Linked DNA regions of Coturnix japonica. The protein of the gene in region 1 purifies or fractionates together with the protein of each later gene. This does not show direct contact. Links are inferred from orthologs where the notes say so. Each region holds a gene or a part of one and is shown in the gene's direction. Other genes may lie near its edges.

Region 1 (5,387 bases):
CCTTGCCTCTCTCATTGATCCCACTGGCCGCTCTTCAAATGTCATCCCGCAAGGAAGGAGCACACATCCAATTGTGAAAGGAAAAGATCAACGTGATGACAAAGCAGCGGGGTCAGTGTGGGGATGTGCTGCGTGAGATAAACAGGGTGCACCTGGCTCTGACACCCTGCAAGCTAGGGCCCCCAGAAGGAGGCACTGTGGGGTTGGCAGAGCCCCCCAGCACTATGGGCAGTGCAAGAATGCAAACTGGACCCTCCTCCCAGCCTCTACTCTGATGTTTGGTATTATTTCTGTTTGAAAAGAAAGCCTGAAACTACTCAAAAGCACAAGTAAAAGCAGGCAAACCGCAGAAGTAACCCAGATTTTGGGTGATGACGTTTATGTGGGGCAAAATCCTGCCTTTATGTTGAAGTTGCTGTTCATTGCTGCACAGTTTGGGTCGTGGCTGAAGGCAGCCTGGACTGAGGGCGCAGCCCTGCACACCCCGTGCAGGTGAGCAGATGGCCAAAGCAAGCAGAGAGCTGCCAAACTGAGGAAGAAAGTTCAGCCCTGCTGCCTTCCACCATGGCCCGCTAAGCACGCAAGGCACAAACTGCTGTGAATATAACATTAAAAATGCCAAAATACTGAGATAGAAGCTGGGTTTGCTGAGTTCTGCATCCCACACCATGGTGGTGATGGAGGCTCTGGAGAAGGATGGAGGGCCATTACCAGGATGTGCAGGATGAACAGACAGCTCAAGTGTGTTCTGCATGTGCTATGAGACACAAATCTGAGCTCCGACCCTCCCAGACTCAGTGTGTTTTCTCCTAAGCTCCCAAAGCTGCCTCTCCTCCTTTCAAGACAGCACTTCTTGCAAGGATAAGCATGAAATGTCTATTGGAACAAGGAACCTGATACTTCCTGAAAGTTGTGATTTAGTGTCAGAGCATTTCCTGATGTTAGCCTTACAGGAAGCAAACTTGCCAGTTACTACCATAGACTTACCTTGATCATTTGGCAGAGTTTTCTGACCAGGTCTTCAAATAGAGCATTGGACAGTGAGCTGAGCACAACATGTAGTTCCCACACTCATCACTTTTCCCTCCTGCTCTTCTCCCCCAACATTACATCTGATCCACCTGCATTTTCCTAGCAGTTTTCTGCTGTGTTCTCCCCATGAGGTGCATGCACCGTGCAGGAACCTCAGTGCACAGGAGCCTGCAGGTGTTAAGCCTGTATTCAAGGATGGAACAGATCCTCACCTGGTGCAAAGCCAGTGTGATGTTACAGCCTTCCACCAGCTGGCTGCAGCCATACGTTGCATGGATTGCGTGGATCCCTTTAACTCAATGGTGGGCACTGAAAAGTCCTGGTAATTAACTAAGGTCATTAGTGCTCCCCTGCACTCTTGGCTGCTTCACAAGCATTCCAAAGCCACCCGTTACAGCCCCTGAGCCAGAAGCACGAGCTGCTGCAACTGCAACTTCATCGTGTTTCCTGATTCCAGCACCTCGCTCACCCCTCGGTGTTAAACCACAAAGCTCCCCCTGCGTGCAGGCGGCTCCTGTATTGATAGCGCTGGCTGAGAGGCTGCGGGCAGCCCCCGCTCACATACGGTGCCACCTGCGGGACGGCAGCACGAGGAGATGGGACCCTTCCGTGCACAGCAATGCGCAGACATGGCGTTCCAGCCAGAACGTTATCTCTCGTGACACTGAAGTTTGTAGGATCCCTCAGCCCTTATTTAGGATATTTGTTCGCTTTGGTGGCAGGGAGCAGCGCAGAAGTCACATAACCCCGTGTCGGGGTGTCGGGGGGCAGCGGGACCGCAGCGTGGGGAGGGAGACGGACGCCTCCGTTCTCAGGCTGTAGCGTGGAGCTGGAACACGCGTGGGGCGGCTGCCGGGCCGGGGGGCACACGGGGGGGTGCGAGGTGCGCGCAAGGCGCGGCGCCGGCTGCCATTGGCCGTGTCGGGCTGATGTCACGGCGGGTGTTGCTATAAGCTCGGCGGCGCCGAACGGGCTGGGGACAGTCGGGCGGGTGAGACGCTGCGGGACGAGTTGGGTCGGGTGAGGAGCGGGGCGATCTGGAGCGGAGCGCAGCTCGTACAGCCCCGCACGGCGGGAGCCACCGCTCACAGCCCGCACCTGCTGTTCCCTATGCGCGGAGCCCGGCGAAACGCCACGACATCGGAACGCTGAGAGCAGCCCCCGCAGCCTGCCCGGGGATCCGGCTGGGGGGACATGGGGGTGGAGGGCACCGAGCTGCCCGGCGGCAACGTCAGTGCCAACCAGAGCGCAGCAGACCCCACGGTGTCGCGGGACGTGTGGGTGGTGGGCATGGGGATCCTCATGTCGCTCATCGTGCTGGTCATCGTCTTCGGCAACGTGCTGGTGATCACCGCCATCGCCCGCTTCCAGCGCCTGCAGACGGTCACCAACTACTTCATCACCTCGCTGGCGTGTGCAGACCTGGTGATGGGACTGGGTGTGGTGCCCTTCGGTGCCTGCCACATCATCATGGAGATGTGGAAGTTTGGGAACTTTTGGTGTGAGTTCTGGACCTCTCTGGATGTGCTTTGTGTCACCGCCAGCATCGAGACCCTGTGTGTCATCGCTGTGGATCGATACTTTGCCATCACCTCCCCATTCAAGTACCAGAGCCTGCTGACCAAGAGCAAGGCACGTGTGGTCATCCTGATGGTGTGGGCCATCTCGGCCCTCACCTCCTTCCTGCCCATCCAGATGCACTGGTACCGGGCAGACCGTGATGAGGCCATCCTCTGCTATGAGAAGGACACGTGCTGTGACTTCTTCACCAACCAAGCCTATGCCATTGCCTCCTCCATCATCTCTTTCTACCTACCGCTTGTGGTCATGGTATTTGTGTACGCCAGGGTCTTCCAGGTGGCCAAGAAGCAACTGCAGAAGATAGACCGGAGTGAGGGCAGGTTTCACATCCAGAACAAGGAACAGGACCAGAACGGGAAAACCGGGCACCGCCGTTCCTCCAAGTTCTTCCTGAAGGAGCACAAAGCTTTGAAGACCTTGGGCATCATCATGGGCACCTTCACGCTGTGCTGGCTGCCCTTCTTCATCGTCAACATCGTGCACGTCATCCAGGACGACATCATCCCCAAGTACGTGTACATTCTCTTGAACTGGCTGGGCTATGTCAACTCTGCCTTCAATCCCCTGATCTACTGCCGGAGCCCAGACTTCAGGTACGCCTTCCAGGAGCTCCTGTGCCTCCGCAGGTCTGCTCTGAAGATGTACGCTAATGGCTACTCAAACAGCAACGGCAGGAGTGACTACAACGAGGAGGAGAACGGCTACCCCCTGGCACCAGAGAAAGCCTGCGAGCTGCTCTGCGAAGAGGGCTCCTTCCCTCACCCTGAGGACTTTTTGCACTGCAAAGGTACTGTGCCTAGTGGGTAGCTCTGAGATGCGATGGGCTCTGGCGTGGCACACTGCTCCTAACGATGAGCCTTCCTCTAAGGAAAAACAAAAACCCAGTAATAATAACGATCCTCACCTAAAGCACACCTAAACCTCAATGGCTGCAAGGAACCTAAAACTCAGCAAACCTCCTGCAAACAGGTGGAAGGCTGCCCTGGGTGGCTTGGGTGGGCTGGCTGCTTGCAGAGGTTATGAATTTAAGTGCACGACCTTAGGTCCCTTGAGCCGGGGGGGTGAGGAGTGCTGGGGGATGGTATTTTAAGGCTGTGCAGAAAGCTCGTCCCAGGAAGAACTTCCTGGCTGTGGCCGATGTTGAACTACCTCATGAGCTCGGTGCTGGCGGCTGCTGCGGGAGCGCTGTGCTCCCCGAGCTGTGCAGCACCTGCCCCCATATCCCCCCCTTTAGGGATGCTTAGAGCTCTGTCGGCTGCGTCTGATCCTGTTGCTGTCAGTGGGAAAGTTTAAACAACGCCCGGAAAAACAGAACAAAACAAAACAAAAAAAAAACAAACCCACGACAACCACGAATGCGTCTTTTGCCAAGTGCTATAGGACTGTCCGCTGAAATAAGGATAGAAATAAACGGAGTCTTTGCCCAGAATGTGATACAGTGGGTGTGGGACTCAGGAACGTGATAATGGGAAGCTGGGCGATACGCTGCTGCAGTCGCAGCCCGTCCTTTTATCGAGACCGCAGCCAAAGCTCTTGTAGCCGCCCAGTTTAAATTCGGCTCTCAGCCCGTAGAGGTGGGCAGGGAAGGTTTTATTTTCTGTCGCTGAGGGCTGACAGTCCGGCAGCGCAGCCCTGGCCGCGGGACGGCTCTGGGTTGGTCTGTCGGTTTGTTTGTGAAGGGTTTTTTCCCCTTGCAGCGGGCTTTGCATTGCGTTCCCGCAGCACTTGGCGGCGGGCGCATGGGCTGTCACGGTGGCAGACGCGAGCGGGCAGGTGGGGACGGACGGACGGACGGACGGACGGACAGGGTGGCTGTGCTGCTCGGCGCTGCTCGGAGACCCCGCTGGAAGAAAGCAGCGATCGCGGGGCTGAAATGGAGCTCCCCCCCTTCGCTTTCTTCCTCAGCTGCAGTTTGAAAGAGGGGAGCCGAGGAGGATGTGAAAGTGCGGTGTCTATAGAAGCACGTGGGAAAGATGGGGGAGGGACGGCCCCGCGCCCCGTGGGAGCTCTTCTCCCCAGGGTTGGCACCGTTAATAGGAGGCTCGCAAAGACCTGGGCTGTTCTGCCCACTGTTCCTGCAGCCCCCGAGGGTGCGCCCAGGGAACGCTGGATGGGATCGGCTCATAAGGTGCTGCAAGGTGCAGGGTGGCTGCAAACTCATTCTTGAGCCCTTGGCGTTCCTCATGGTAAAGCCCCACCCGGTTTTGTGGGGAAGGGTTTAGAAATCCTCGTGCTCCCTTCTGCCTTCCCCCAGGTATCCCAATCCGGTTTGGGAGGTCAGGCAGCCCCTTAGCCCTTTCCTAACCCTATGTTGGATGCTGGCTCTGCTCTGCTTGCAGCCTCTCCAGCTTGGTGCATGCTACAGAGTGGCAGGGAATGTGTGCAGCAGAGCTCTGTGTCACTGCCAGCTTTGCTGCCCGTGCCCACCTGCACCTTCCTTGGAGCTGTCAGCAGTGTCCGAGCACTCCCGAAGTCATCAGGTTCAGCTTTTACATTACAGTGTGAACAAACGAGAGGGGTGTGATGGCGCAGGGTGGTGTGTGGCTGTGGGGAGCAGGAGGCCAGGTTGGAAAAACATTTGCTCCTCAGATAAACATTAACAGGCTGACCAGGCTGGAGAGACCTGGTGTGGGGTCAGGTGCTCTCAGTTTCCTACTGTAAAGGGCTGAAAGGCAGGGGGCCCTGCGCTGCGGGGCTGGTGTCGGTGCCCCATGTAGGTTAGAGATGCACCATGTTGGAGATGCATTTCAGCTCAGTATAGGTCATGATTATTA
Region 2 (3,933 bases), on another chromosome or scaffold:
ATTGTGGAAAAAATACAGCTACCAAGTAAAAGTCAAAGTCAATTTAACATAATGCTTCAGCATATAGAAAGGACCTACAGGTGACAATCGCTGGAGGTCAGTAGGTTCAACACGCGTGTTGCCAATTGTGAAATGTAAAGGGCATACTGAAAACAGAATGAATTTTTGCACCCATGAGTTTTTGTAGTACGTCTTAGTGGTATAAGCTATTAACACAGAAATTAAACATGAATCTTCAGACGTCTGACTGATGTTCAGTAGCAACATAAAATCAGATTAGAATTCATAGTAAAATAGGCAGTTATTGACTCTGAACTAAAGCTATTTTGGTTCAGATTAGGTAGAATTGGGGTAGAGATTAAGAGGAATAGGCTGTGGAAAAATTCCAATTTGTGAATGAAAACAGAGGAGTGCTACTAAATAGTATTCTGTGGTCCTGATCCCAGTTCTAATGAGTTGGCATTCACTGTGTCTGTTCAATTACACCTGGCTGCTGGAATCTTTATAAGGGAGTGAGATTGATCTACCCCTGTGCCTGTGGAGGCCGACTTGTTTTCTGAGTACATGAAAAATGTAAAACTCAAACATAACTCCATTAGTTCTGGCACAGGATCTGCATCCATATGAAGCTTCGCATGGCTGAGTTGGTGTGGATAAACAAACATAAGGTCTTTGCACCTTTTATTTTTGGAAGTTTATTAGATGTTTGTCACAGCAGGAGGCCTGCTAGAGCAGGTGGCAAGGAGAGAAATTATAGGAGACAAGGGAGAGAAGCCTTGCTGTTCCTTTCTTTTTTTAAGTAGAAATTAGGCTTATTGAAACATTAATAGTATGTAACGAAAGGATATTGGGAGAAACTTGCCATAGTGCAACTTTCTAAAGCGTTGCTTAAAGGAAAGATGTTTATTCAGGTAGAATAGAAGTTTGTCCTCTGTTATGTAGGTTAACGTGAAGATACGCTACAATTTTGTCAGACAGGATCACTCTGGTAGAACATAGAGGGGTGAGATGCTGATCTGCCCTTGCTCTTCTAAATGTTTTGGTGAATCAGGCAAGACTGTTGGATGCTGACCTGGGATGGCAGAGAAACCTTTAGCCAGAAGAAAGAGATCATAGACAGAGACTTTAATAAATAAACAAATAGAAGCCAGGCTGACTCATTACACTGCCATGTGCTTTTATTCTTTATGATCACTATTATTTATTTGACACACAAACCTTGAATACTTGCAGTTTACACAGTAATGAATGGGAATTTTTGTTAATGTGAATCCCTCCATACCAGGAAGCGGCGTCACAACTCTGAGATCTATCTGTTATTAGCTTGATGGGTGCATTTCAGATAAAATGCTTCACGTGTCTTATATCTGGGGTATGTTAAGTACTGGATAGTTTTGAGAGCAGGTAGGTTGTAAGAATGAAGAAATATGTAAATACTGAGAAGTCCTTGGGTTTGGTAGCTGGCATAGGAAAAAGTGCAAATTAGATTATTGTTAAATTTGAAATACATTCTTCTTTCTTTTTGTATCTGTTACAAGCTTCAAAGAGTTGTGGAAATAACTGTTTTAAATAGAAATTAAAACTTTTAAAATGTTTGCAGGTGCAGATTCTGGACAGATATCTGAAGAAACGTGGAATTTTCTTCAGTCAATCTATGGTGGAGGCCCAGAGATTATACACAGGCCACCTGTTCCTACAGTAGAACCTGATATCTTGCAAACAGAAGAGAAGATTGAGTTAGAAACTCATTGTCTGTAGCTACTGAGGAAGGGATGAATTTGTAAGGAATCCAGCTTCCTTACAAAATGCCCAAAATACATTCCTAAAAGTTTTATTCTCTTGTCTATTGGAGGCACATCTCACTGGGCATTACATTAACTACAGAAGTGTAAGTTGAAATATACATTGCAATTTGTTTAAATGAAGACTGTTTCTCTGTTTTGGAAAGTGTGTAGTTTATTCTTCTTGGAGTGTTTGGTGAGTGGAAAACACTGTCATTTCTGGACTTTTCAGTGTAAGTCAAAATCCTGTTATATCCTTAGACTTGAAAAATGGGAGCAAAGTTCTAGAGATGTATGTAACCTTCCTGATTGGGCTTCTGATACCCACAAATGTCTGCCTTCTTAATTGTAAAGTCTTGACAATGTTAGGTATAAGGAGAGTATATTCTAAATGGATTGCAATCAATGATAAAGAAAAAGGATTTTTATGTCTTAAATGCTCAGGAAAAAAATTCTCACTTATTTTGCACTGTAAGTATATATAAAATGAGTGACATCCAAATACTTAACATATTTGAATGGATCAAACATTAACGTAGATTGAATATTGTTTTAGTCAGCGAATGTCATAAGTTATTACCTGCTCAATTTTGCATCATTAGGCTTCTGTAACTCTATAAACCTGCTAGCGTTAATAATATTTGTGAGAAAAAAGATGTAGTCTTCTCTAGGGTAATGTTTGAGAGCATGAAATGTGAAATGTAAAATGACTATGGACATGAGTGATATAAATTTTGGAAGTTAAATTGTCTGGTCTCTTGAATTATATTCACAGATAGTTGCTTTTGAAGAATTTTATTGTATTGTTCATTAGCATGATGACCTATAATGTGAAAAGCTGGATAAAATGTATATATTGCAAATTTCACTAAATGAATCAGATCGGAACGCAGAATGGCACTTAGTCTTTTCTTTGCCTGATAGTTACCAAATAAGCAGCGGTACTCAAGGCTACTTGTTTGGTTGTTTGTTTTGAAAAAACAAAAGAGAGAAAAGGGGCTGGATGAGGGCAACCAACCTTAATGTGGGGAGGGGTTGGGAGCCTTCTCAAATTTTTTCCATTTATTACATCACTGTGAAAACCTTGGAGTAATGCTGTGATGTTGTCCCCAGACCCATATATTTCCTGGCTACTTTACATTGAGGCAATGACGTGGTCAGTTGCATGGCTTGAGTGAGAAATACTGATGTAACGCTCTTCTGGCTGGTTTTACATCTAGTATAAAATGAAACTTGTGTTGTACTTCAGAAAGTACTTAGAGCCATTGTGGTTAGAAAGCCGCCTATAAGAGTCCTAGTGTTCTGTAACCTAAAGTACTTGACCATGTTGCTGATGTGTTGTATAATAAGTTCTGTCTGAAATCCCATCTGTAAATCCCAGTGTTTTCCTCAGCCTACCTGAGAAGTAGAGCTAAAGCCAGAACACAGTAGGGTGAATGAGAGGGGTAGATGAACAGCAGTACAAAGCCAATGATTATATCTCTAGTATGTAAGTAAAACATTCCCAGTTTTAAACTTCATTAAACTTTATCACAGATATCAGTTGGCCAGCCCATGAAATGTCTGGATAAGTAGTAAGACTGCCCCAGTAAAATCTGCAAAGGAAGAAAAGCATCAGATACAAGGCACAGGAGGTCATTATTTTGCTCTACTCGGTGTTGTGCTTGATTGTGAGGTTTCATATGTACAGCTCCCAGTTTTGGATTTTACTTGATAATAAATGCAAGCTCTGGGTAAAGATGATCTCAAAGAAGAGCTGCAAGACTCAGTACTGAAAAATAGGTTCTCTTGCTTAAAAGAATGCTGGAGGGAGATTCAAGGAAGAAAACAGTTCTATTAGATGAGTAGGAGTATCTGCCTCAGTTTCAGTAATGGTGACTTGGGTTTAGATAGAAATATTTCTAGATTTCTAATAGTCTGGCAGTTCCTGCAGATTGTTTTTTCCACTGCAGTCCTGAACTGTGCTGTGCTTAAACCAGTAATGAGATGCTTCAAACTAGCTGAGTTGTGAAGTGCCTCTATCACCTCAGTGACAGGCATCCTCACACTGCAACTGTTTGTCGTGCTTAACAACAAAGGAAATTCCCAAGTTTGCAGAGATGAAATGTGTTTGTGTTTAAGATGGTTCCAAAAAGATGACTGCCTTGTTTTT

Evidence for each region.
Region 2: the proteins of ADRB2 (region 1) and USP33 purify together in Homo sapiens (affinity purification with western blotting; 3 studies listed by BioGRID and IntAct, with this or other methods). This does not show direct contact. The link is inferred for Coturnix japonica from reciprocal best matches to the Homo sapiens genes ADRB2 and USP33.

Annotation. Positions count from the first base shown.
Region 1 is NC_029528.1:10,593,894-10,599,280, reverse strand, and holds the start of ADRB2 (beta-2 adrenergic receptor), read left to right. Parts: upstream 1-2,004; 5' UTR 2,005-2,226; coding exon 2,227-3,400; intron 3,401-5,387. UniProt on the Homo sapiens protein: Beta-adrenergic receptors mediate the catecholamine-induced activation of adenylate cyclase through the action of G proteins. The beta-2-adrenergic receptor binds epinephrine with an approximately 30-fold greater affinity than it does norepinephrine.
Region 2 is NC_029523.1:16,746,666-16,750,598, forward strand, and holds the end of USP33 (ubiquitin carboxyl-terminal hydrolase 33), read left to right. Parts: intron 1-1,600; coding exon 1,601-1,758; 3' UTR 1,759-2,673; downstream 2,674-3,933. UniProt on the Homo sapiens protein: Deubiquitinating enzyme involved in various processes such as centrosome duplication, cellular migration and beta-2 adrenergic receptor/ADRB2 recycling.